3 linked regions of the Pelodiscus sinensis genome follow. The protein of the gene in region 1 purifies or fractionates together with the protein of each later gene. This does not show direct contact. Links are inferred from orthologs where the notes say so. Each region holds a gene or a part of one and is shown in the gene's direction. Other genes may lie near its edges. The genes, in order: SEM1, RAD23B and UBE3C.

What was found.
Region 2: the proteins of SEM1 (region 1) and RAD23B purify together in Homo sapiens (co-immunoprecipitation; 3 studies listed by BioGRID and IntAct, with this or other methods). This does not show direct contact. The link is inferred for Pelodiscus sinensis from reciprocal best matches to the Homo sapiens genes SEM1 and RAD23B.
Region 3: the proteins of SEM1 (region 1) and UBE3C purify together in Homo sapiens (affinity purification with western blotting; 3 studies listed by BioGRID and IntAct, with this or other methods). This does not show direct contact. The link is inferred for Pelodiscus sinensis from reciprocal best matches to the Homo sapiens genes SEM1 and UBE3C.

The regions. Positions count from the first base shown.
Region 1 is NC_134712.1:210,643,412-210,650,487, forward strand, and holds the start of SEM1 (26S proteasome complex subunit SEM1), read left to right. Parts: upstream 1-4,058; 5' UTR 4,059-4,141; coding exon 4,142-4,217; intron 4,218-7,076. UniProt on the Homo sapiens protein: Component of the 26S proteasome, a multiprotein complex involved in the ATP-dependent degradation of ubiquitinated proteins.
Region 2 is NC_134716.1:6,186,323-6,193,439, forward strand, and holds the start of RAD23B (UV excision repair protein RAD23 homolog B), read left to right. Parts: upstream 1-4,071; 5' UTR 4,072-4,285; coding exon 4,286-4,351; intron 4,352-7,117. UniProt on the Homo sapiens protein: Multiubiquitin chain receptor involved in modulation of proteasomal degradation. Binds to polyubiquitin chains.
Region 3 is NC_134712.1:240,091,796-240,099,337, reverse strand, and holds the start of UBE3C (ubiquitin-protein ligase E3C), read left to right. Parts: upstream 1-4,505; 5' UTR 4,506-4,882; coding exon 4,883-4,948; intron 4,949-7,542. UniProt on the Homo sapiens protein: E3 ubiquitin-protein ligase that specifically catalyzes 'Lys-29'- and 'Lys-48'-linked polyubiquitin chains.

The DNA.
Region 1 (7,076 bases):
CTGACAGGGGTGGGGCTGGTCACAAGAGCCAGTGCAGTGCCCATTGTGTTCATGTGTGGCAGCTGGGGGATGCGCAGAAGTCCCCTTCAGAATCTCCACCTACTTCCTCATCTTTCTCTAACTAAACCTGCCTTTCCTCAAGCACCAACATTCAAGGTTAAATAAAAAAAATATTTTGACCGTATTTCATTAAAAATATACTGTATTTCAGCTACATTATGGATTAAATAGGCTTTCATGGGCTAGCCTGGGAACCTAACCACCTGACATTGTTTCTATGGGAAAATGTGTTCCGAATTCCAAACAACTGACTTATAAACAAACTTTTGGAATTCAAGCTGTTCATAAGCTGGGGAGTTCCTGTACTAGGAAGAGAGGGATGGGTGATGGGGATGGCATTAAAAAATGGAAGAGGAAAGAATGGCAAAGAAAATCATCAGACAATGTAGCTGAAGAGAGTGGGAAGAGGAAAGGAAATGATGGTGAGAGATGGCTGTTGGGGAGAGGTAAATGGAAAGGCTGGAAGGAGGGATGGTGGGAGCAGTGTGGGAGGTGGCAGTGGCAGAGGTGAGGAATCAAGTGCGGGCTGGAAGGAGAATGTGGGACTGGTGGGGAGGCAGCAGTAGCCAAGGGGAAGGAGCAGTGTGGGGTGGAAGGAAAATGTTGATGCAGGGTGGGAGGTGGCAGTGGGAATGGAAAGGGGAAGATGCAAAATGGAGGGAAGGCAAGGCAGCAGTGGCTGAGAGGAGGGAGTAGTGCAGGTGGGAAGGGGGGTGCAAGAAAGGGAAAGGCAGCACTAGGAGGGAAGAAGGGAGCAGGGAGCAGCGATGGCTATGGGGAGGAAGAAGTGGGGGTGGGAAGAGGTGGGAGCAGAGAGAGGCAGCAGTGGCTGAAGGAAGGGAGCAGTGGAAGGGAAGGAGGAAGCGGGGGTGGCAGTGGCTATGGGGAGGGAGCAGTGGGGGAAAGGAGGGAGCAGTGGGAGGTGGCAGTGACAGAGAGGAAGGAGCAGTGGGGCAGGGGCAAGGCGGCAGTGGCAGACGGGAAGGAACAGTGGTGGGAGCAGGGGGGAGGTAGCAATGGCTGAGGGGAGGGAACAGCGGGGGTAGGAGCAGAGGGGAGGCGGCATGACTGAGGGAAGGGAGCAGGGAGAGGCAGCAGTAGCTAAGGGGAGGGAGCAATGGGGAGGTGGCAGTTGCTGAGGGGAGAAGCAGAGGGAGGCAGCAGTGGCTGAGGGGAGGGAACGGGGGAAGTGGCAGTAGCTGAGGGGAGGGAGCAGGGAGAGGAAGCAGTGGCTAAAGGAATGCAGCAGTTGGGCTGGGAAGAGGGAGTAGGGGAGAGGTGGAAGTGGCAGAGGGGAAGGAGCAGTGGTGTAGGGAGAAGGTGGCAGTGGCAGAGGGGAAGGTGGCAGTGGTGTAGGGAGAAGGCAGCAGTGGCAGAGGGGAAGGAGCAGTGGTGTAGGGAGAAGGTGGCAGTGGCAGAGGGGAAGGTGGCAGTGGTGTAGGGAGAAGGCGGCAGTGGCAGAGGGGAAGGAGCAGTGGTGTAGGGGGAAGGCGGCAGTGGCAGAGGGGAAGGAGCAGTGGTGGTAGGAAACAGGTGGAAGCGGGGGGAAGTGGCAATGGCTCAGGGGAGGGAGCAAGGGGAGGCAGCAGTGGCTGAGGGGAGGCAGCAGCGGGAGGCGGCAGTGGGGATGGGAAGAGGGTGGGAGCAGGGGGAAGTGACTGTGGCTGAGGAGAGGGAGCAGGGGGAGGCGGCAGCAGGGGTGGGAAGAGGGTGGGAGCAGGGGGAAGTGACTGTGGCTGAGGAGAGGGAGCAGGGGGAGGTGACAGTGGGGGTGGGAAGAGGGTGGGAGCAGGGGGAGGTGACAGTGGGGGTGGGAAGAGGGAGGGAGCAGGGGGAGGTGACAGTGGGGGTGGGAAGAGGGTGGGAGCAGGGGGAGGTGACTGTGGCTGAGGGGAGGCAGCAGCGGGAGGCAGCAATGGGGGTAGGAAGAGGGAGGGAGCAGGGGGAGGTGACAGTGGGGGGTGGGAAGAGGGAGGGAGCAGGGGGAGGTGACAGTGGAGGGGTGGGAAGAGGGAGGGAGCAGGGGGAGGTGACAGTGGGGGGGTGGGAAGAGGGTGGGAGCAGGGGGAGGTGACTGTGGGTGAGGGGAGGGAGCAGGGGGAGGTGACAGTGGGGGGTGGGAAGAGGGTGGGAGCAGGGGGAGGTGACTGTGGCTGAGAGGAGGGAGCAGGGGGAGGTGACACTGGGGGGTGGGAAGAGGGAGGGAGCAGGGGGAGGTGACAGTGGGGTGGGAAGAGGGAGGGAGCAGGGGGAGGTGACAGTGGGGGTGGGAAGAGGGTGGGAGCAGGGGGAGGTGACAGTGGGGTGGGAAGAGGGAGGGAGCAGGGGGAGGTGACTGTGGCTGAGAGGAGGGAGCAGGGGGAGGTGACAGTGGGGGGTGGGAAGAGGGTGGGAGCAGGGGGAGGTGACTGTGGGTGAGGGGAGGGAGCAGGGGGAGGTGACAGTGGGGGGTGGGAAGAGGGTGGGAGCAGGGGGAGGTGACTGTGGCTGAGAGGAGGGAGCAGGGGGAGGTGACACTGGGGGGTGGGAAGAGGGAGGGAGCAGGGGGAGGTGACAGTGGGGTGGGAAGAGGGAGGGAGCAGGGGGAGGTGACAGTGGGGGTGGGAAGAGGGTGGGAGCAGGGGGAGGTGACAGTGGGGTGGGAAGAGGGAGGGAGCAGGGGGAGGTGACTGTGGCTGAGAGGAGGGAGCAGGGGGAGGTGACAGTGGGGGGTGGGAAGAGGGTGGGAGCAGGGGGAGGTGACTGTGGGTGAGGGGAGGGAGCAGGGGGAGGTGACAGTGGGGGGTGGGAAGAGGGTGGGAGCAGGGGGAGGTGACTGTGGCTGAGAGGAGGGAGCAGGGGGAGGTGACAGTGGGGGGTGGGAAGAGGGTGGGAGCAGGGGGAGGTGACTGTGGGTGAGGGGAGGGAGCAGGGGGAGGTGACAGTGGGGTGGGAAGAGGGTGAGAGCAGGGGGAGGTGACAGTGGCTGAGAGGAGGGAGCAGGGGGAGGTGACAGTGGGGGTGGGAAGAGGGTGGGAGCAGGGGGAGGTGACTGTGGGGGTGGGAAGAGGGTGGGAGCAGGGGGAGGTGACTGTGGGGGGTGGGAAGAGGGTGGGAGCAGGGGGAGGTGACTGTGGGGGGTGGGAAGAGGGTGGGAGCAGGGGGAGGTGACTGTGGGGGGTGGGAAGAGGGAGGGAGCAGGGGGAGGTGACAGTGGGGGGTGGGAAGAGGGTGGGAGCAGGGGGAGGTGACTGTGGCTGAGAGGAGGGAGCAGGGGGAGGTGACTGTGGGGGGTGGGAAGAGGGTGGGAGCAGGGGGAGGTGACTGTGGCTGAGAGGAGGGAGCAGGGGGAGGTGACAGTGGGGGGTGGGAAGAGGGAGGGAGCAGGGGGAGGTGACTGTGGCTGAGAGGAGGGAGCAGGGGGAGGTGACAGTGGGGGTGGGAAGAGGGTGGGAGCAGGGGGAGGTGACAGTGGGGTGGTGGGAAGAGGGTGGGAGCAGGGGGAGGTGACTGTGGCTGAGAGGGGGGAGCAGGGGGAGGTGACAGTGGGGGTGGGAAGAGGGAGGGAGCAGGGGGAGGTGACAGTGGCTAAGGGGAGGGAGCAGGGGGAGGTGACAGTGGGGGTGGGAAGAGGGAGGGAGCAGGGGGAGGTGACAGTGGGGGTGGGAAGAGGGAGGGAGCAGGGGGAGGTGACAGTGGGGGTGGGAAGAGGGAGGGAGCAGGGGGAGGTGACAGTGGGGGTGGGAAGAGGGAGGGAGCAGGGGGAGGTGACAGTGGCTGAGGGGCAGCAGTGGGGCAGGGGAGGAGTGGGAGGGCACACGAAGAAGGGGGAGGGACTAGCTGTGCGCAAGAGGAGAGGGAGGGGCGGGGCTCGCTGTGCGCGAGAAGGGAAAGAGCGGGCGGGGCTGGAGCGATTGAGGGAGCAGTGAATGCGGGGAGAGGCAAGATGCTATCGCCGACTGACCAACCGAGAGACTCCGTTACGACGCATGCGCCGTTTCAAGCGCTGAGTCCGCCAGCATCCCGTCATGCCCCGCGGGGCAGTCGAGACGTAACCCCGCGGCCGGCTCGGACGCTAGAGCGGCAGTGGCCCAGGCGGATCATGTCCGAGAAGAAGCAGCCTGTGGATCTGGGGCTCCTGGAGGAGGATGACGAGTTCGAGGAGTTCCCGGCTGAAGGTGACGGCTCGGGGTTTGCCGTGGGGCCGGGGCCCGATGGGGGGGGCGCGGAAGGGGGGTGCCGGTGCCGGTGGGGTTGGGCCTCGGCTCCCTGCTCGGGCACTTGGCTCCGTTCCGCGCACAGCTGCCCGGGCTTAGTCAGCGCGCGGTGGGGCTGGCTCGCCTCCCTGCGCCGGGCCTAGGGACCGGGCTGGCGTTGCTCGCCTTTCCTGTGGGCTGCCCCATTCGTCGAAGCGAGCCCCCTGGAGCCCTGCACCCCCAAGCGCGGGTCGAGCCGCTGGCTTCTCTGCAGCCTTTCCCCAGCCGGCGGCTTTCCACACCACGTGGAGATTTCCCGTTGCAGAAACCCATGCTTGTTACTGGCTCACTTAGCCCGAGTAACTTTCTGTGAGCTCGGGCCCGTCTGCCTGCCATGCTCACAGTCCCATTCTGCCAAATCCTGACAATGTGTCTTGTCCGTGTGTGTCGAACTCTGAAAAACGAATCTGTTCTCATTAACGTTTTAAATGTATTAGGGAATAATGCAGACACATTTGTCATGCATACAGTGTTGTTTTGTGAAAGGCATTCCTAAGCCTAGACTAGCATTTTTTTCCTAATCAGAAATAAAATGTGTTCAGGAAATTCATCAGCATTCCATGTACTCAGAGAACCTCAGAGCTTCGACAGATCTGAAGAACATAGGGAAAGGGACAGCTTGGACCCCTGATTTCACTTCCTTGGACTAGAGGTGGTCAGTCCCCTTTGCTGACAGACTTTGGGGTCTGTCAGCAGATTGCCTGGGCTCCCCTGCTCTAGGGGGCTGCCAGGACTCTGTGGCGCAGCTGCAGGTCCAACAAGTTGTGACACCAGAGAAATTCAGTCTGTAGTAAAGTCTCAGAGGGGTAGCAATGTTAATCTGTAACTTAAAAAAAAAAGTGGTCCTGTTGTACCTTAGAGACTAACAAAAATTGTATATTGTATCAAGAGCTTTCGTGGGCACAACACTCATCCGAAGAAGTGGGGAGCAAGAGCCTGGCTGAAGCCTATCTCACTTTAAGCAGTTAACTGGTTAAACATTATGTTTAACCAGTTAATTGATTAAACATGATTTTACATCCCTTAGAACTAATGTGTTTCATGTTGCTGGACTTCATTAGGATTGCTTGATTTTTGCCATCATACACAATGGCTAAGAACAAATACAAACAAACATTTTGTCTAGATGACAAGATTAATAAGGGGAAGGAAAAGGAATAATGATGGATGTAAAATGAGGTCATGTGAGAGTAATAAAAGGATTCAATTACAGTAGTGGATAGCAGCTTTCTTTATGAAGTCTAAATCTTGACACACAAATTCCACTGCATTTTGATAAAAAGCTAGTGAATAAGTCTTACCTGGATTTTACTACAACCCTTCATATGTGCAGAAAAACAGTGTTATTAATAAGGAACTTTCTCTTTCAGTCTTGTAAATAAAAATGTTGTCTTAGGGATGTTAATGTGTTTATTTTGGTGAATATGTGACTGCTGAAAGTTCCAGCAGTTACACGTTTACACACCGGAGGGAGAGGAGGGACTGCTATCCAGACAGAGGCAGCAGGGTGAATGAGGGGGGAGGCTGCTCACTGCTCCTACCGACTCTGGTGCTGCTGCCTCTGATACAGAGGCAGCAGTACAGGGAAGGGTGGGGAGAGGCAGCTTTGCAGGAGCTGGTATGTGCTAGCTTTCTGTGAGCCCAGGCGGCTGTGTGTAACTCTGAGCCCTGGCTTCTCAATTAACCATGTACACATTTATGCTTTCACATCCCCAATCCTAGATTTCATCTTGGAAGACTTCAGAATAGACTTCAGAATAATGCATGATTGTCCATTTTCCTCAAGTCTTTAAAAGTTCTGCTGATTAAAGGGATGGCTTATATTGGTTAATGAAGGGAATTGCTCACATGTAGATCAGGGATTCTTAACCTTTTTCTTTGAGTACCCCCACACCTCCAACGTACTGTTAAAAACTCCATGGCCCACCGGTGCGGCAACAACTGTTTTTTCTGCATATAAAATCCAGGGCCAGTGTTATGGGGTAGTAAACAGAGCAGTTGCATGGGGCTCCATGCCACAGATTGTCCCATGAAGCTTAGTTGTTCAGGGTTCAGCCCCGGGTAGTAGGGCGTGGGGTCTGGGATTCGACCCGCTTTGTTGAGGCTTTCACTTTCTTGGGCCTCCGTGAATGTAATGTTGGCCCTGCTTAATGGTTTCCCTGAAACCAACTTGCAGGCCCCAGACTCGTGGTTGAAAACTACTGGTGTAGGTCATGTTGGGTAGGGAGGTGTTCACAATTTTTGTTATGCTGTCTTCCTCATACTTGGTGTACATTTGGAAGCCATAAAGTTATCAAATAGGTTTTATCAAATATAATATTTCCAGGAAAATCTTTAAAAACAACAAATAGTGTGGTAGCACTTTAAAGAATAACAAAACATGTAGGTTAGTAATAGAAATGTAGCCGTGTTAGTCTGGTGTAGCTGAAGCAAAATACAGGACTATGTAGCACTTTAAAGACTTTATCCTCCCCCCTCCCCCCCGCATCCCCTCCTGTTCTGAAATGTGACTTGTCCTTTTCATGTGTGTTCATTTTTTTTTAATTGTATCCTTTGGTATATATGGTTGTGACTATTTTCTTCCACTACTTGATCTGAGGAAGTGGGTCTGGCCCACGAAAGCTCATCATCTAATAAACCATCTTGTTAGTCTTTAAAGTGCTACATAGTCCTGTATTTTGCTTCAAAACATGTAGGTGGTATTGTGAGCTTTTGTGAGCACAGCTGGTCTTCTGAAGAAAGGGGCTGTGCCCACGAAAACTCATAATACCATCTACATGT
Region 2 (7,117 bases), on another chromosome or scaffold:
GTAAAGCTGATAGCAGTTAATCCACCTCCCTGAGAGGCAGTAGCTATGCTGATAGGAGAAGCTCTCCCACCAACATAGTGCTGCCTACATAGAGTCAGGCACTTAAAACTACGGTGCTTAGGTGTGTGAATTTGTCACACTCCTGAGCAACATAGGCCTGTGGTATAGACCCGTCTTAGTCTTAGATCCAACATACAAGGTGAAGTGGCCTGTTAACGTCCCTATATTTAGTCCTAGGATAAAAAAGGGTGGAGTTAATGAGTTACAGAGACAGATACAGGCATCTTTAAGCTCCACAGATTTTTTTTAAATCAAAATATGGCAAACAGGTCCCCTCCATGCCTAATGCTCGTTCCAAACTTCCATGTGCTCAGGCTCCTTTGTATTATGTTGTATAACACTCTACAGAGGTAGCAGCCAGGCAGGGACCATGGATACCAGCTCTTCTCCCGTCTCAACTGCTCTTCATTCATGCCCAATCCTAGACCCCCACCCCAATCTGCCCCTTTTCTCCTCCATCCTAGCTCCTTCCAACAGCCCCTTCCCTTGCAACCACAATCCCGCCTCCCCACCCGCGCAGCCCCTTTCCAGCCCATCAACCCCTTCCCGCTCCCAGCAGCCAAGCCCTAACCCAGCTCCTCAGCAGACTCACCCCCACCCAATCCCATTCCCTAAACTCAGCTCCCAATAGCCCCATCCCCAATCCCAGCTCCCCAAGCACCCCCTTTCCAGCCCGAGTCCCTTCCCTCCCTAAGCAGCCGAAACCCACAATCCCGACCGTGCCCCCAGCAGCCCTTCCCATCCCCCCAACTCCTCCCCCTTCCCAGCCACCACCCTACCCCAATCCCAGCCCCCCATCTCCCCATAATCCCAACCGCTCCCCCAATCCCAGCCCCCATCTGCCCATAATCCCAACCCCTCACCCAATCCCAGCCCCCCATCTCCCCATAATCCCCAATCCCAGCCCCCCATCTCCCCATAATCCCAACCCCTCCCCCAATCCCAGCCCCCATCTCCCCATAATCCCCAACCCCTCCCCCAATCCCAGCCCCCCATCTGCCCATAATCCCCAACCCCCCCAATCCCAGCCCCCCATCTGCCCATAATCCCCAACCCCTCCCCAATCCCAGCCCCCCATCTGCCCATAATCCCCAACCCCTCCCCCAATCCCAGCCCCCCATCTGCCCATAATCCCCAACCCCTCCCCCAATCCCAGCCCCCCATCTGCCCATAATCCCCAACCCCTCCCCAATCCCAGCCCCCCATCTGCCCATAATCCCCAACCCCTCCCCCAATCCCAGCCCCCCATCTGCCCATAATCCCCAACCCCCCCCAATCCCAGCCCCCCATCTGCCCATAATCCCCAACGCCTCCCCAATCCCAGCCCCCCATCTGCCCATAATCCCCAACCCCTCCCCCAATCCCAGCCCCCCATCTGCCCATAATCCCCAACCCCTCCCCCAATCCCAGCCCCCCATCTGCCCATAATCCCCAACCCCTCCCCAATCCCAGCCCCCCATCTGCCCATAATCCCCAACCCCTCCCCAATCCCAGCCCCCCATCTGCCCATAATCCCCTCCCCTCCCCCAATCCCAGCCCCCCATCTGCCCATAATCCCCAACCCCTCCCCAATCCCAGCCCCCCATCTGCCCATAATCCCCAACCCCTCCCCAATCCCAGCCCCCCATCTGCCCATAATCCCCAACCCCCCCCCCAATCCCAGCCCCCCATCTGCCCATAATCCCCAACCCCTCCCCCAATCCCAGCCCCCCATCTGCCCATAATCCCCAACCCCTCCCTCAATCCCAGCCCCCCATCTGCCCATAATCCCCAACCCCTCCCCCAATCCCAGCCCCCCATCTGCCCATAATCCCCAACCCCTCCCCAATCCCAGCCCCCCATCTGCCCATAATCCCCAACCCCTCCCCAATCCCAGCCCCCCATCTGCCCATAATCCCCTCCCCTCCCCCAATCCCAGCCCCCCATCTGCCCATAATCCCCAACCCCTCCCCCAATCCCAGCTCCCCATCTGCCCATAATCCCCTCCCCTCCCCCAATCCCAGCCCCCCATCTGCCCATAATCCCCAACCCCTCCCCAATCCCAGCCCCCCATCTGCCCATAATCCCCTCCCCTCCCCCAATCCCAGCCCCCCATCTGCCCATAATCCCCTCCCCTCCCCCAATCCCAGCCCCCCATCTGCCCATAATCCCCAACCCCTCCCCCAATCCCAGCCCCCCATCTGCCCATAATCCCCAACCCCTCCCCCAATCCCAGCCCCCCATCTGCCCATAATCCCCAACCCCTCCCCCAATCCCAGCCCCCCATCTGCCCATAATCCCCAACCCCTCCCCAATCCCAGCCCCCCATCTGCCCATAATCCCCAACCCCTCCCCCAATCCCAGCCCCCCATCTGCCCATAATCCCCAACCCCTCCCCCAATCCCAGCCCCCCATCTGCCCATAATCCCCAACCCCTCCCCCAATCCCAGCCCCCCATCTGCCCATAATCCCCAACCCCTCCCCCAATCCCAGCCCCCCATCTGCCCATAATCCCCAACCCCTCCCCAATCCCAGCCCCCCATCTGCCCATAATCCCCAACCCCTCCCCCAATCCCAGCCCCCCATCTGCCCATAATCCCCAACCCCTCCCCCAATCCCAGCCCCCCATCTGCCCATAATCCCCAACCCCTCCCCCAATCCCAGCCCCCCCATCTGCCCATAATCCCCAACCCCTCCCCAATCCCAGCCCCCCCTCTCCCATAATCCCCAACCCCTCCCCCAATCCCAGCCCCCCATCTGCCCATAATCCCCAACCCCTCCCCAATCCCAGCCCCCCCTCTCCCATAATCCCCAACCCCTCCCCCAATCCCAGCCCCCCATCTGCCCATAATCCCCAACCCCTCCCCAATCCCAGCCCCCCATCTGCCCATAATCCCCAACCCCTCCCCCAATCCCAGCCCCCCATCTGCCCATAATCCCCAACCCCTCCCCCAATCCCAGCCCCCCATCTGCCCATAATCCCCAACCCCTCCCCAATCCCAGCCCCCCATCTGCCCATAATCCCCTCCCCTCCCCCAATCCCAGCCCCCCATCTGCCCATAATCCCCAACCCCTCCCCAATCCCAGCCCCCCATCTGCCCATAATCCCCAACCCCTCCCCCAATCCCAGCCCCCCATCTGCCCATAATCCCCAACCCCTCCCCCAATCCCAGCCCCCCATCTGCCCATAATCCCCAACCCCTCCCCCAATCCCAGCCCCCCATCTGCCCATAATCCCCAACCCCTCCCCAATCCCAGCCCCCCATCTGCCCATAATCCCCAACCCCTCCCCCAATCCCAGCCCCCCATCTGCCCATAATCCCCAACCCCTCCCCCAATCCCAGCCCCCCATCTGCCCATAATCCCCAACCCCTCCCCAATCCCAGCCCCCCCTCTCCCATAATCCCCTCCCCTCCCCCAATCCCAGCCCCCCATCTGCCCATAATCCCCAACCCCTCCCCAATCCCAGCCCCCCATCTGCCCATAATCCCCAACCCCTCCCCAATCCCAGCCCCCCATCTGCCCATAATCCCCAACCCCTCCCCCAATCCCAGCCCCCCATCTGCCCATAATCCCCAACCCCTCCCCAATCCCAGCCCCCCATCTGCCCATAATCCCCAACCCCTCCCCCAATCCCAGCCCCCCATCTGCCCATAATCCCCAACCCCTCCCCCAATCCCAGCCCCCCATCTGCCCATAATCCCCAACCCCTCCCCAATCCCAGCCCCCCATCTGCCCATAATCCCCAACCCCCCCTACTCTTCCCCCTCCTCATCCCCTCCCCCCCGCAACCGACCCCCCCAGCAGCCCCCACTCCCAACGCCTCCCTATCCCCCCACCCACTCCCCAAATCCCAGCCCCACAACCGAACCCCTCCCCCCCCCATTCCCACTTCCCCCTTCGCTCCTCCCCCGCCCGCGCCGAATTCCGCCCCGCACATGCGCCCCAGGCCGCCGGCCTCCCGCGCGTGCGCAGGGGGAGCGTGTCCCTGCGCCTCCCCGCTCCCTCCTGGTGTCTTGTGCAGGGGGCTGCGGAGGCGAGTCATGATGGCGGCGGCCAGGCCGTGAGGCGCGCGAGACCTGCCCCCGCCCTCCCGCGCGCCCCCGCCCCCCTCCCGCGCGCCCAGCCGAGCGAGCGGCGCCCCCCCCTCCCCCGCGCGCCGGGGCTGAGGCAGCGCGAGCGGGTCCGGGAGGCGCAGGCCGCGAGCGCGGGGCGGCCGGGCCGGGCCCCGGGGCGCGGCCTCGCCATGCAGATCACCCTGAAAACCCTGCAGCAGCAGACCTTCCGCATCGACATCGACCCCGAGCACACGGTGCGCCCGCCCGGCGGGGGGGGAGGGGTAAGGGGGTGAGGGAGGGAGGGAGGGAGGGGGCTGGGGTAAGGGGGTTGAGCATGGGGGGGTGAGGGAGGGGGCTGGGGTAAGGGGGTGAGGGAGGGGGCTGGGGTAAGGGGGTTGAGCATGGGGGGGTGAGGGAGGGGGCTGGGGTAAGGGGGGTGAGGGAGGGGGCTGGGGTAAGGGGGTTGAGCATGGGGGGGTGAGGGAGGGGGCTGGGGTAAGGGGGTGAGGGAGGGGGCTGGGGTAAGGGGGTTGAGCATGGGGGGGTGAGGGAGGGGGCTGGGGTAAGGGGGTGAGGGAGGGGGCTGGGGTAAGGGGGTTGAGCATGGGGGGGTGAGGGAGGGGGCTGGGGTAAGGGGGTGAGGGAGGGGGCTGGGGTAAGGGGGGTGAGCATGGGGGGGTGAGGGAGGGGGCTGGGGTAAGGGGGGTGAGGGAGGGGGCTGGGGTAAGGGGGTTGAGCATGGGGGGGTGAGGGAGGGGGCTGGGGTAAGGGGGTGAGGGAGGGGGCTGGGGTAAGGGGGTTGAGCATGGGGGGGTGAGGGAGGGGGCTGGGGTAAGGGGGTGAGGGAGGGGGCTGGGGTAAGGGGGTTGAGCATGGGGGGGTGAGGGAGGGGGCTGGGGTAAGGGGGTGAGGGAGGGGGCTGGGGTAAGGGGGTTGGGCGTGGGGGAGTGAGGGAGGGGGTTGAGCATGGAGGGTGAGGGAGGGGGCTGGGGTAAGGGGGTTGAGCATGGGGGGGTGAGGGAGGGGGCTGGGGTAAGGGAGTGAGGGAGGGGGCTGGGGTAAGGGGGTTGAGCATGGGGGGGTGAGGGAGGGGGCTGGGGTAAGGGGGTGAGGGAGGGGGCTGGGGTAAGGGGGTTGAGCATGGGGGGGTGAGGGAGGGGGCTGGGGTAAGGGGGTGGGGCGTGGGGGAGTGAGGGAGGGGGTTGAGCATGGAGGGTGAGGGAGGGGGCTGGGGTAAGAGGGGGTTAGGTTGAGGAAGGGGTTGGGTAAGAGGGGATTAGGGTGAGGGAGGGGGTTGAGCATGGGGGGGTGAGGGAGGGGGCTGGGGTAAGAGGGGTTTAGGGTGAAGAAGGGGTTGGGGTAAGGGGGTTGGGCATGGGGGGTGAGGGAGCGGGCTGGGGTAAGAGGGGTTTAGGGTGAAGAAGGGGTTGGGGTAAGGGGGGTGAGGGAGGAGGTTGGGGTAAGGGGGTTGGGCATGGGGGAGTGAGGGAGGGGGTTGGGCGTGGGGAAGTGAGGGAGGGGGTTGAGCATGGAGGGTGAGGGAGGGGGCTGGGGTAAGAGGGGGTTAGGTTGAGGAAGGGGTTGGGTAAGAGGGGATTAGGGTGAGGGAGGGGGTTGAGCATGGGGGGGTGAGGGAGGGGGCTGGGGTAAGAGGGGTTGGGTAAGAGGGGATTAGGGTGAGGGAGGGGGTTGGGGTAAGGGGGTTGAGCATGGGGGGTGAGGGAGGGGGCTGGGGTAAGAGGGGGTTAGGGTGAAGAAGGGGTTGGGGTAAGGGGGTTGGGCATGGGGGGTGAGGGAGGAGGTTGGGTTAAGAGGGGTTAGGGTAAGGAAGGCGTTGGGGTAAGGGGGCTGGGCATGGGGGGGTGAGGAAGGGGGTTGGGTATGAGGGGAAGGGGGGGAGGTTAGCTGCAGCCCCAGCTTGTGTGTGGTGGTGACGACCCTTTCTGCAGGGCTTGGGTATCTGTGGGTGGCATTGGGGTGACTAGAGCACTTCTGCTGGGTGAGGCTGCCTGCGTTGGGAGGCTCAGGAAGGGGCCTGTGTATGTCTGTGGGGTTGGTGAATGCGTGGAGACTATTGGCTGCTCAGGGGTGCAGGTTATTGTGTCTACTTCTCTTCTGTGAAGGGAGTATTTTGGGAGTGGTTACTGGTTCTGCTGGGTGTGAATGGAGATACACAAGCTTCTGCTACAGGAGGCGGGGTGTGTGTTGGGGTGTGTCTGATTTTACTAGCCTTTTTGACATTAGTTGTAGTGACTGCTCTTTAGTGGGGGTGTGTAAGTGGGGTAAATCTACTGACTACTCTAGTGAGTGCTTCTCTGCAAGATGCTGGGGGACAGATGTTATTGCAAAGTCCAGTTCATATGGGAATAGTGTGTGTGACTAAGAGGAAGATTAGGTACTTAGTGCACTTCCAAAATTGGAGGGGGACTAGGTGCCCTTTCAAAGAGGAGTGTGGATGCAGCCTTTTGGAGCTAGTTTCCCCGTGTTATACCAATCCTGATGCCATCTAACACCCCATTTGGATTGTAGTGGATCTTTTCCAATCCTTGCCCATTAGGACTGAGCAATGAAACCATGACTCTGCCTTACTATTTCCCTAGGCCTGATTGTTTAAACACCCTCCCCCCCAAAGTAAAAGAAAAAATGGAGTGTTGTGAAGGGTGGCTGCAGCCAGCTCACAAGGGTGATTGGGTCTAGACAAGTTGGCTGAGGGAGAATGTCTAATTTAAATGTACACAGTAGAGTCCTTCATAAGCTTAAAACACTAGCCTTTATAATTAATCCCTACACGGAGAGCTGCCTTCTCTTTTTATTCCCTTTCTCCCCTGCTCATCATATTGAGTGATTTGGAGCAACTCTGAGGTCCTAGGAAACCTCTGCAAGGAGCAGATTAGGGGAGTAGGTTTGCCAGCTAGACAAGCTGTGTGTGCATTTGAGATTATAGAAGTACAGTATTGGCTAGGTGTTGGAGGATGGGGAAGAAGAATGGTTTCTTCAGTTGCTAAATATTGGATCACTGT
Region 3 (7,542 bases), about 29 Mb from region 1:
GAAGGTGACTTTAACCTGTAAATTAGATGTTTATCTATGCATAGGAGATTTTCATATTCCTGTTTTTTTTATGTGTCTTCGTATACAATAACCATATCAGGCTCAGCTGTAAACTACCTCTTTGTCCAGTTTTAGATTCACCTTTAAAGGCTTTTTTGTGATAATAAACTTTTAATTCTAGTTGTTTAATAGACTTTACATCTAATCAGGCAATCGCCCCATGTTTATATTCATAATAATGCACCTGTTATTAGAGGAATTTAATAATGGGAACATATTCAAGACTTTGAAATAAGGCTATAAGGACCATAATAAATAACACCCCCAAACAGCTGCTACATAATATTCATTGCAAAATATATAAAATTAAAACTTTATAACCAATAGCCTTTGGCAAATTAATGTACTATGTATTACTACGTTTTAAAAGAACCCCTTTATAAAAATGAAGCAAAGATTTGAAAGTGGTGCAAGTAAGACATGGCGAAAGCAAAAGTGAAACGGCAGTTAAGAGTTTAATGCCAATAGCATAATTTCTTGTAGAAAAGACTCCTCAATCATTAGACAAACTATACTGACAATGGTGATAGAAATGTAGCCGTGTTAGTCTGGGGTAGCTGAAGCAAAATGCAGGACAATGTAGCACTTTAAAGACTAACAAGATGGTTTATTAGATGAGCTTTCGTGGGCCAGACCCACTTCCTCAGATCAAATAGTGGAAGAAAGTAGTCACAACCATATATACCAAAGGATACAATTAAAAAAATGAACAAATATGAAAAGGACAAATCACATTGCAGAACAGGAAGGGGATGCGGGGGGGGGGGGGGGGGGGAAGGAAGGAAGGTAAGTGTCTGTGAATTGATGATATTAGAGGTAGGGAGAGCGGGATGTTTGTGAGTTAATGGTATTAGAGGTGATAATTGGGGAAACTATCTTGGTAATCGGTGAGATAGTTCAAGTGTTTGTTGAGTCCTTTTTGGAAAGTGTCGAATTTTAACATGAATGACAGTTCAGAGGATTCCCTTTCAAGTGCAGATGTAAAAGGTCTTTGTAGCAGAATGCAGGTGGTTAAGTCATTGAGAGAGTGTCCTTTCTGGTTAAAATGGCAAGAAACTGTTTTTTCTTTGTGATCTTGTCTGATATCTGTTTTGTGGGCATTAATCCTTTGGCGAAGTGTCTGAGATGTTTGTCCAATGTACATAGCAGACGGACACTTTCGGCACATGATAGCATAGATTATATTTCTGGATGCGCAGGAATATGTGTTCTTGATCTTATAACTCACTTGGTTAGGTCCAATAATGGTATCAGCAGAATGAATATGTGGACAAAGCTGGCAACGGGGTTTGTTGCAAGGGAAGGTACCAGGGTTGGTATTAGTGTGGTATGTCCTGTGGTGGTTGGTAAGAATCATCTTGAGGTTAGGTGGTTGTCTATAGGAGACTATGGGTCTGTCTCCCAGAGCCTCTTTGAGTATGGTATCCTGTTCCAGTATAGGCTGTAGTTTATTGATAATGTGTTGGACAGGTTTAAGTTGGGGGTTGTAGGTGCCATTTTAACCAGAAAGGACACTCTCTCAATGACTTAACCACCTGCATTCTGCTACAAAGACCTTTTACATCTGCACTTGAAAGGGAATCCTCTGAACTGTCATTCATGTTAAAATTCGACACTTTCCAAAAAGGACTCAACAAACACTTGAACTATCTCACCCATTACCAAGATAGTTTCCCCAATTATCACCTCTAATACCATTAACTCACAAACATCCCACTCTCCCTACCTCTAATATCATCAATTCACAGACACTTACCTTCCTTCCTTCCCTCCCCTCCCCTGCATCCCCTTCCTGTTCTGCAATGTGATTTGTCCTTTTCATATTTGTTCATTTTTTTAATTGTATCCTTTGGTATATATGGTTGTGACTACTTTCTTCCACTATTTGATCTGAGGAAGTGGGTCTGGCCCACGAAAGCTCATCATCTAATATACTGACAATGACACTTCCAGTTCTGATGATGAAAACTTTGTACCCACAAATGACAATTCAATGCCGCTACCTCAAAATGAGTAAATAATAACTCAAAATGAGTAAATGGTAGCGAGAGATGCAGAATCTGCGTCGATTTAGAGACTGTACAGGCAGAAAATGAGAACCTTGGAGATGTTATGAAGCAAAAGCAAGAACTTATGACTAGCACAGGACATAGTATAACAACAGCGGCATCAGAACCTGATATTGGACTTCTTGCATTTTTGCTCAAATGCAGTCATTTCTCTAAGTTAATTGTTTTCAGATTCCAAGTTGTATACCGAAAGATGCTGAAAATCATGCTTTTCCCACTCATTTGCTGACAAAAACTCTTCCGAAGGGAGATGATACAGAAAATGATAAATAGAAAAAACTCCTTGAGCTGGTTTTGAATGTCATTCTTTTTCTTTCTGAATGGGGATTGGCTTTGTTTGATTCCAGTCATTGTATGGGTAACCCTACAAACGGAAACTTACTTGGTCTACTTGAGATTCTTAGCAAATATGACCCACTTTTATCAGGCCATGTTATGCGTGTTCGTGAATCACAAGAGAGCGGAAAATGCATGCAAGTCCATTTTCTGTCTACTAGAATACAAAATGAGTTTATTAAGCTGTGTGGAACATTTGTGCAAACAACAATTCTTGAAGAAATATGACATGCGAAATACTTTTAAATTATTATTGATGCAACTCCAAACTGTTTTTATAAAGAACAGATGACCTTGGTTGTTCAATTTGTTAAAACTTCAGAAAGTTCAAAGGTTTCAATTGAAGAACAATTCATTTTGTTTGATAATTTCACAAAAAAACTGGAAAATAAATCGCTGCTCATGTATTAGAAATTCTGGAAGGCTTCAAATTCCATTTTCAAGTCTGCATTGGCCAAGACTATGACAATGGATCCAATATGACTGGGAAGTACAATGGAGGACAAGCAGTCCTTCTTGAGCAAAATCCAAACTGAATTTTCTCCAGTTGTGGCAACCACGCACTAAATCTTATCGGCATTGATTGCTCTGAATCATGCAAGGAAGCAATCACATACTTTGGAACAATCCAACAGTTTTACAACCTCTTCCAGTAGCAGTCCTCAAAATTGGGAAATTCTAAAGCAGATTGAATCTTTTACTCTCACAGAACAGGCTTGCACTGAGTTTATGTCAGCAGAGAAGTATATATCCAAATCTGAATGCATTTTAATGTCATCCATATGGATGAAGCTGCTACAAATGATCCATGAAACTAATCTTGTAATTGAAGCACGCAATGCTACATTAGATGTTGAGAGGGATAGCACTGAATGACTTCTTACAGATATTCAAGAGATTTGTGATCAATGGAATGCAATCCTTTGAGTCCAAATCAGTAGCATGGGATATTGACATTTCATCTGAGTTTTCCACCAATCACACCCTAACATCTCAATTTGATGCATAAAGGCACTATTGAGTCATTTTTTTTTTATTATTGACTCCATCAAATCTGGTCTTACACGTCTATTTGAGTCACTACTACAAATTTGTACCTTTTTTAGATTCCTTTGGGAGTTCAGAGAACTAAGTGATGAAGATCTATATTCAGCAGCAGAGCAGTCTCAAGAAATGTACAATGAAATGTCAAGAAAGCTCTGACACAAGACCGTCTTCCTGAAACATATACATTCCGCTTACTTTAAATCAGACTGCAAGCCAAAAACTGCTTCCAGAAATATTCGATCTTGGCCTGTCGACTGTATTTCTTAGTATCACAATTGCATTACCTATTTTTGTCAGTCTTCCTGCATCAATGGCTGAATGCACAGTCAACATGTTAAAACAAGTGAAGAACTATGGTTCTACAATGGGACAAGAGCATTTGAGTGGGCTCGCCATGCTTAACATAAAAGGTGAGGTTGCACATACATTAGATTTTTCTTCAAATATAAACAAGTGTGCACCCAACAAAGCCAGAAAAAGCATTGCTAAAATGAAGAGTTTTGCTGGCAGTGGAAACTCACACTTAAAGTTACATTTTTAATATACATGGTCTTGTTAATAAACACGTCTCAAGTGTTCGTTTTCATATAGTCTTTGGGTTTTAGTGTAGTCCCCTTAGTATGACCCTGTGGATGAGAAGTTAGGTCAGGGCGCTGGGCAGGCGCCGCTGAACTCAAAGTGGCCCAGCCCTCTGTCGTTCTCTGAGCGGGCCTGCCTACAGCGCTGCTGTGCTGAAGGGGCAAAGGGCTCGGCGGGGTGGATTTGAGGCCAGGAAGGGCCCTGCTTAGAGCACAGGCTCCTTCACGGTGCTCATCCCCGCTCCCGGGCCGTGGCCACGGCTGGCGGGTGCCGAGGGGCTGCGCCACCGACGCGGGGCGGCACGGCCACCAGCGCCCTGAGGCTGGGCCTCTGACGAGCTCCAGGGGGCCGGGCGCGCGCTGCAGGCAGCCCGCGCGCGTTCCGGGCGGCTGCGGCGGGGCCGCGCGCCGATTGGCTGGGACGCGGGAACGCGCAGAGGGAGCTGGTCGGCGGCCATCTTCTCTCCGGAGCCGGCTGATTCGTAGTGCAAGTGAAGCAGCCGCGCCAGCCCCCTCCCCCCGCCCGGAGCAGTAGCTGGTGGTCCGAGAGGGGGGGCTTAGGGAAGCGAGGGAGCGAGTGGGTGTGTGTGTGGGGAGAGCAGCCCCTCCCGGCCGGGGGTCGCCCGGCGATCGCCGCAGGAGGCAGCAGCGAAGGTGGCACTGGGGTGGCCGGGCTGGTGCCTCCCCTGGGCGGGCAGCGGCTGCCCATTCCCCAGCCCCGCTCGCGGCCCCGGTGCAGCGTCAGCCTGGGAGGCAGCGGGGACGCCGCTCTCGATGGGATAAGCTGTAACCATGTTCAGCTTCGAAGGGGATTTCAAAACCAGGCCCAAGGTGTCTCTTGGAGGAGCAAGTAGGAAGGTAAGAGCCGCGCTGGGTCTCTCTGAATTCTGTATCCTGGCTGATGTCCCTCGCCTGCCTGCTTTGCTTTTTGCGCCCCGCTGCTGGGCCTTCAAATGGAGCAGGTGTGACTCAGGGCTCCTCGGGGCCAACAAAACCTGTCCCCACTCCCAGAGAGGGTGTGTTTTTGTGTTTTAAATCAGGCCACGCACCCCTCAAAGCTCCAGGTGCATTCACAAGTATGCGAGAGAAATTACACTACTCCTCTTTGACTCCCCCTCCTCCGCCCCTCCAAGTGATCCGGTTTGTTGTGGGAACCACGCTTGGAGCAGATAGTTTCTAGGGCGCTTTGAGTGAAGGGAAATAGTTAAGAATGTCTGTCGTGTCTTTTAAAGAAAAGACTTAATTGAAACACACAACAAAAATCATGCGCCAATCATGGGGGACGGAAATGCTTGTAAAACTTAATGGAAGCTCCAGGGGCCTCCATCACAAATGGTTTAGGGTTGTCAGGTCCCGATTTTACCCCTTTCACCACCGAGTTTGCATTCAAATGGCAAACTGAAATCAGTGTGTCATGTGCTGAGTAAGGAGCAGTCAGTAGATGATGTTGTTTTACTAGAGTATTGCCTAAAAGGACGTTAAATGGTTTAGTTAAGGCTTGCTGGTTGGAAAGACTATAAGTAACTTTTGTCAGCCACAGAATTCTCAGACCAAATTCCAAAACAAAGTTTTTGGAAGCAGTTTGATTGATGAGGTGTGCATCCCTGGTTAATCAGTTAGATTCAAGTTCTGACTGTCATGATCATTATAATGGGGTTAGCTGTTTGAGCGTTGGTGTAGTGTATTTGTTTTATTGTTCAACAAATAAAGATTTGGGAAAGTGTTTGTTGTTTTGGGACTCCAGGTTTGGCAGTAAGCTTTTAAGTCTCTCCTAATAAGAGAAACTTGTTACCTGATAGAAAAGTTCACTGTGAATTTACTATCACAGTATTGTCTGCTGCATATTTTCATAAAGAAAATGTACATCATAACTGTATTAAGTGTGTGTAACTATTCACTTGAATTATGGAGAAACTACCTTCTTTTGACATCTCTGATGACTAAAAGCCATTTATGGTCATTAGACCACATACATGACATTATGTTTTTTGTATGCCAAAAGTAGAATAAATCTTAATAGGTAATAGTGGTAATTGGCAGAGCATGCCCTGCTCTTCAGGAATGTATTTTAGGTATTTTACATCCCTTGGCATCGCATTATGATTGCTAAAAGAATTTTTCCTGCTCCAGAAAGAGAAAAAAGTATATAATCTTCTAATACTGTTATTATTTTCTCTAGTTTATGCAAATTGCAATTGGATTTTTAATCATGGTGGATTAGAATAATATTGTTCTCATATATTCTAAATTAACACACACAAAGTTTAAATTCCTATATGGGTAAATTTGCCAGGATAAATGTTCAAAAATTAAGGAAATGTGAAAGCCGAGATTGAGTATACAACTCTGTCCCATACCCACACCACTTCTGCAATCTGATCTAGATGGGTGGGTGTAATTGACTTAAGTAGCTCCACTTTTGTGCAAGTATCTGACCTTATAGATCTATTTAGTGCTTGTGTTATCAGTGGGTCTAATCAAGTAAAGTTACTCACAGTTTTCAATATGAATATGGGCACCATAGGAGGCTCTAATATAGATGCGTGTTTTTAAAAAAGTACAGGATTTGGTGAAGTTAATATTAAAATTTGTCATGTCACATGAAAAATATAGATTATCACACTTTCTGCATAACATGACATGCTATAGTAGATATATTAGTTTGGCAAATATTTTCATGGAGTTTAGGAATTGTGCATTTTGCTATTTTTTCTGATACTACGTAATAGATTTTTGTGGGTAATTTCCCCAATACTAATGGGTTCCAGCTGTACAAAATCCAAAATCAGTTTCTTGTCTCAACTCTTTCTGAAAATTTGAACTATTCTTTGGCATAAACTATCCCATCCCCAAGTACTTTAAAAAAAAAATCAGTTAAAAGCTCTAATCCTGCAAAAGTTAGTACCCAGGCAGCCTGGCACCAGTGCAGAGCTCCATTGAAGTCCAGCCAAGCTGTGTATGGGTGCATGATTGATACAATTGCAGGATTTGAGCTCAAATAAATGGTACTGTTTATGTATACAGACTGTCTAGTTTTAAAATTAAGATGTTCAAGGGATATTTTGCTGGTATAGTTATGTTGGTACAGGAGGCCCCAGACTTGCGACCGCCTGAGTTCTGACCCCTGCACTTACAACCATTTTTGCAAGTGTGGAAGGGGCTGGAACCGCCCAACTTACGTCTTTGGCCCACATTTACGATGGCACATGGTGCCTATTGTAAATGAGGATCAAGTTACGACACCCCCGTCTTGCAGTGCTTCCCCCAGAACCAATTGCGTTGCAAGTTGGGGGCCTCCTGTATAGCCAAAGTAGCAAAACACTTGTAGTCTAGGTTCATAAACTATACTAGCATAGTCACGTGCATCTGATGAAGTGGTTTTGATCCATGAAAGCTTATGCCAAATAAATCTGTTAGTCTTTAAGATGCCACAGGATTCCTCATTGTTTTTA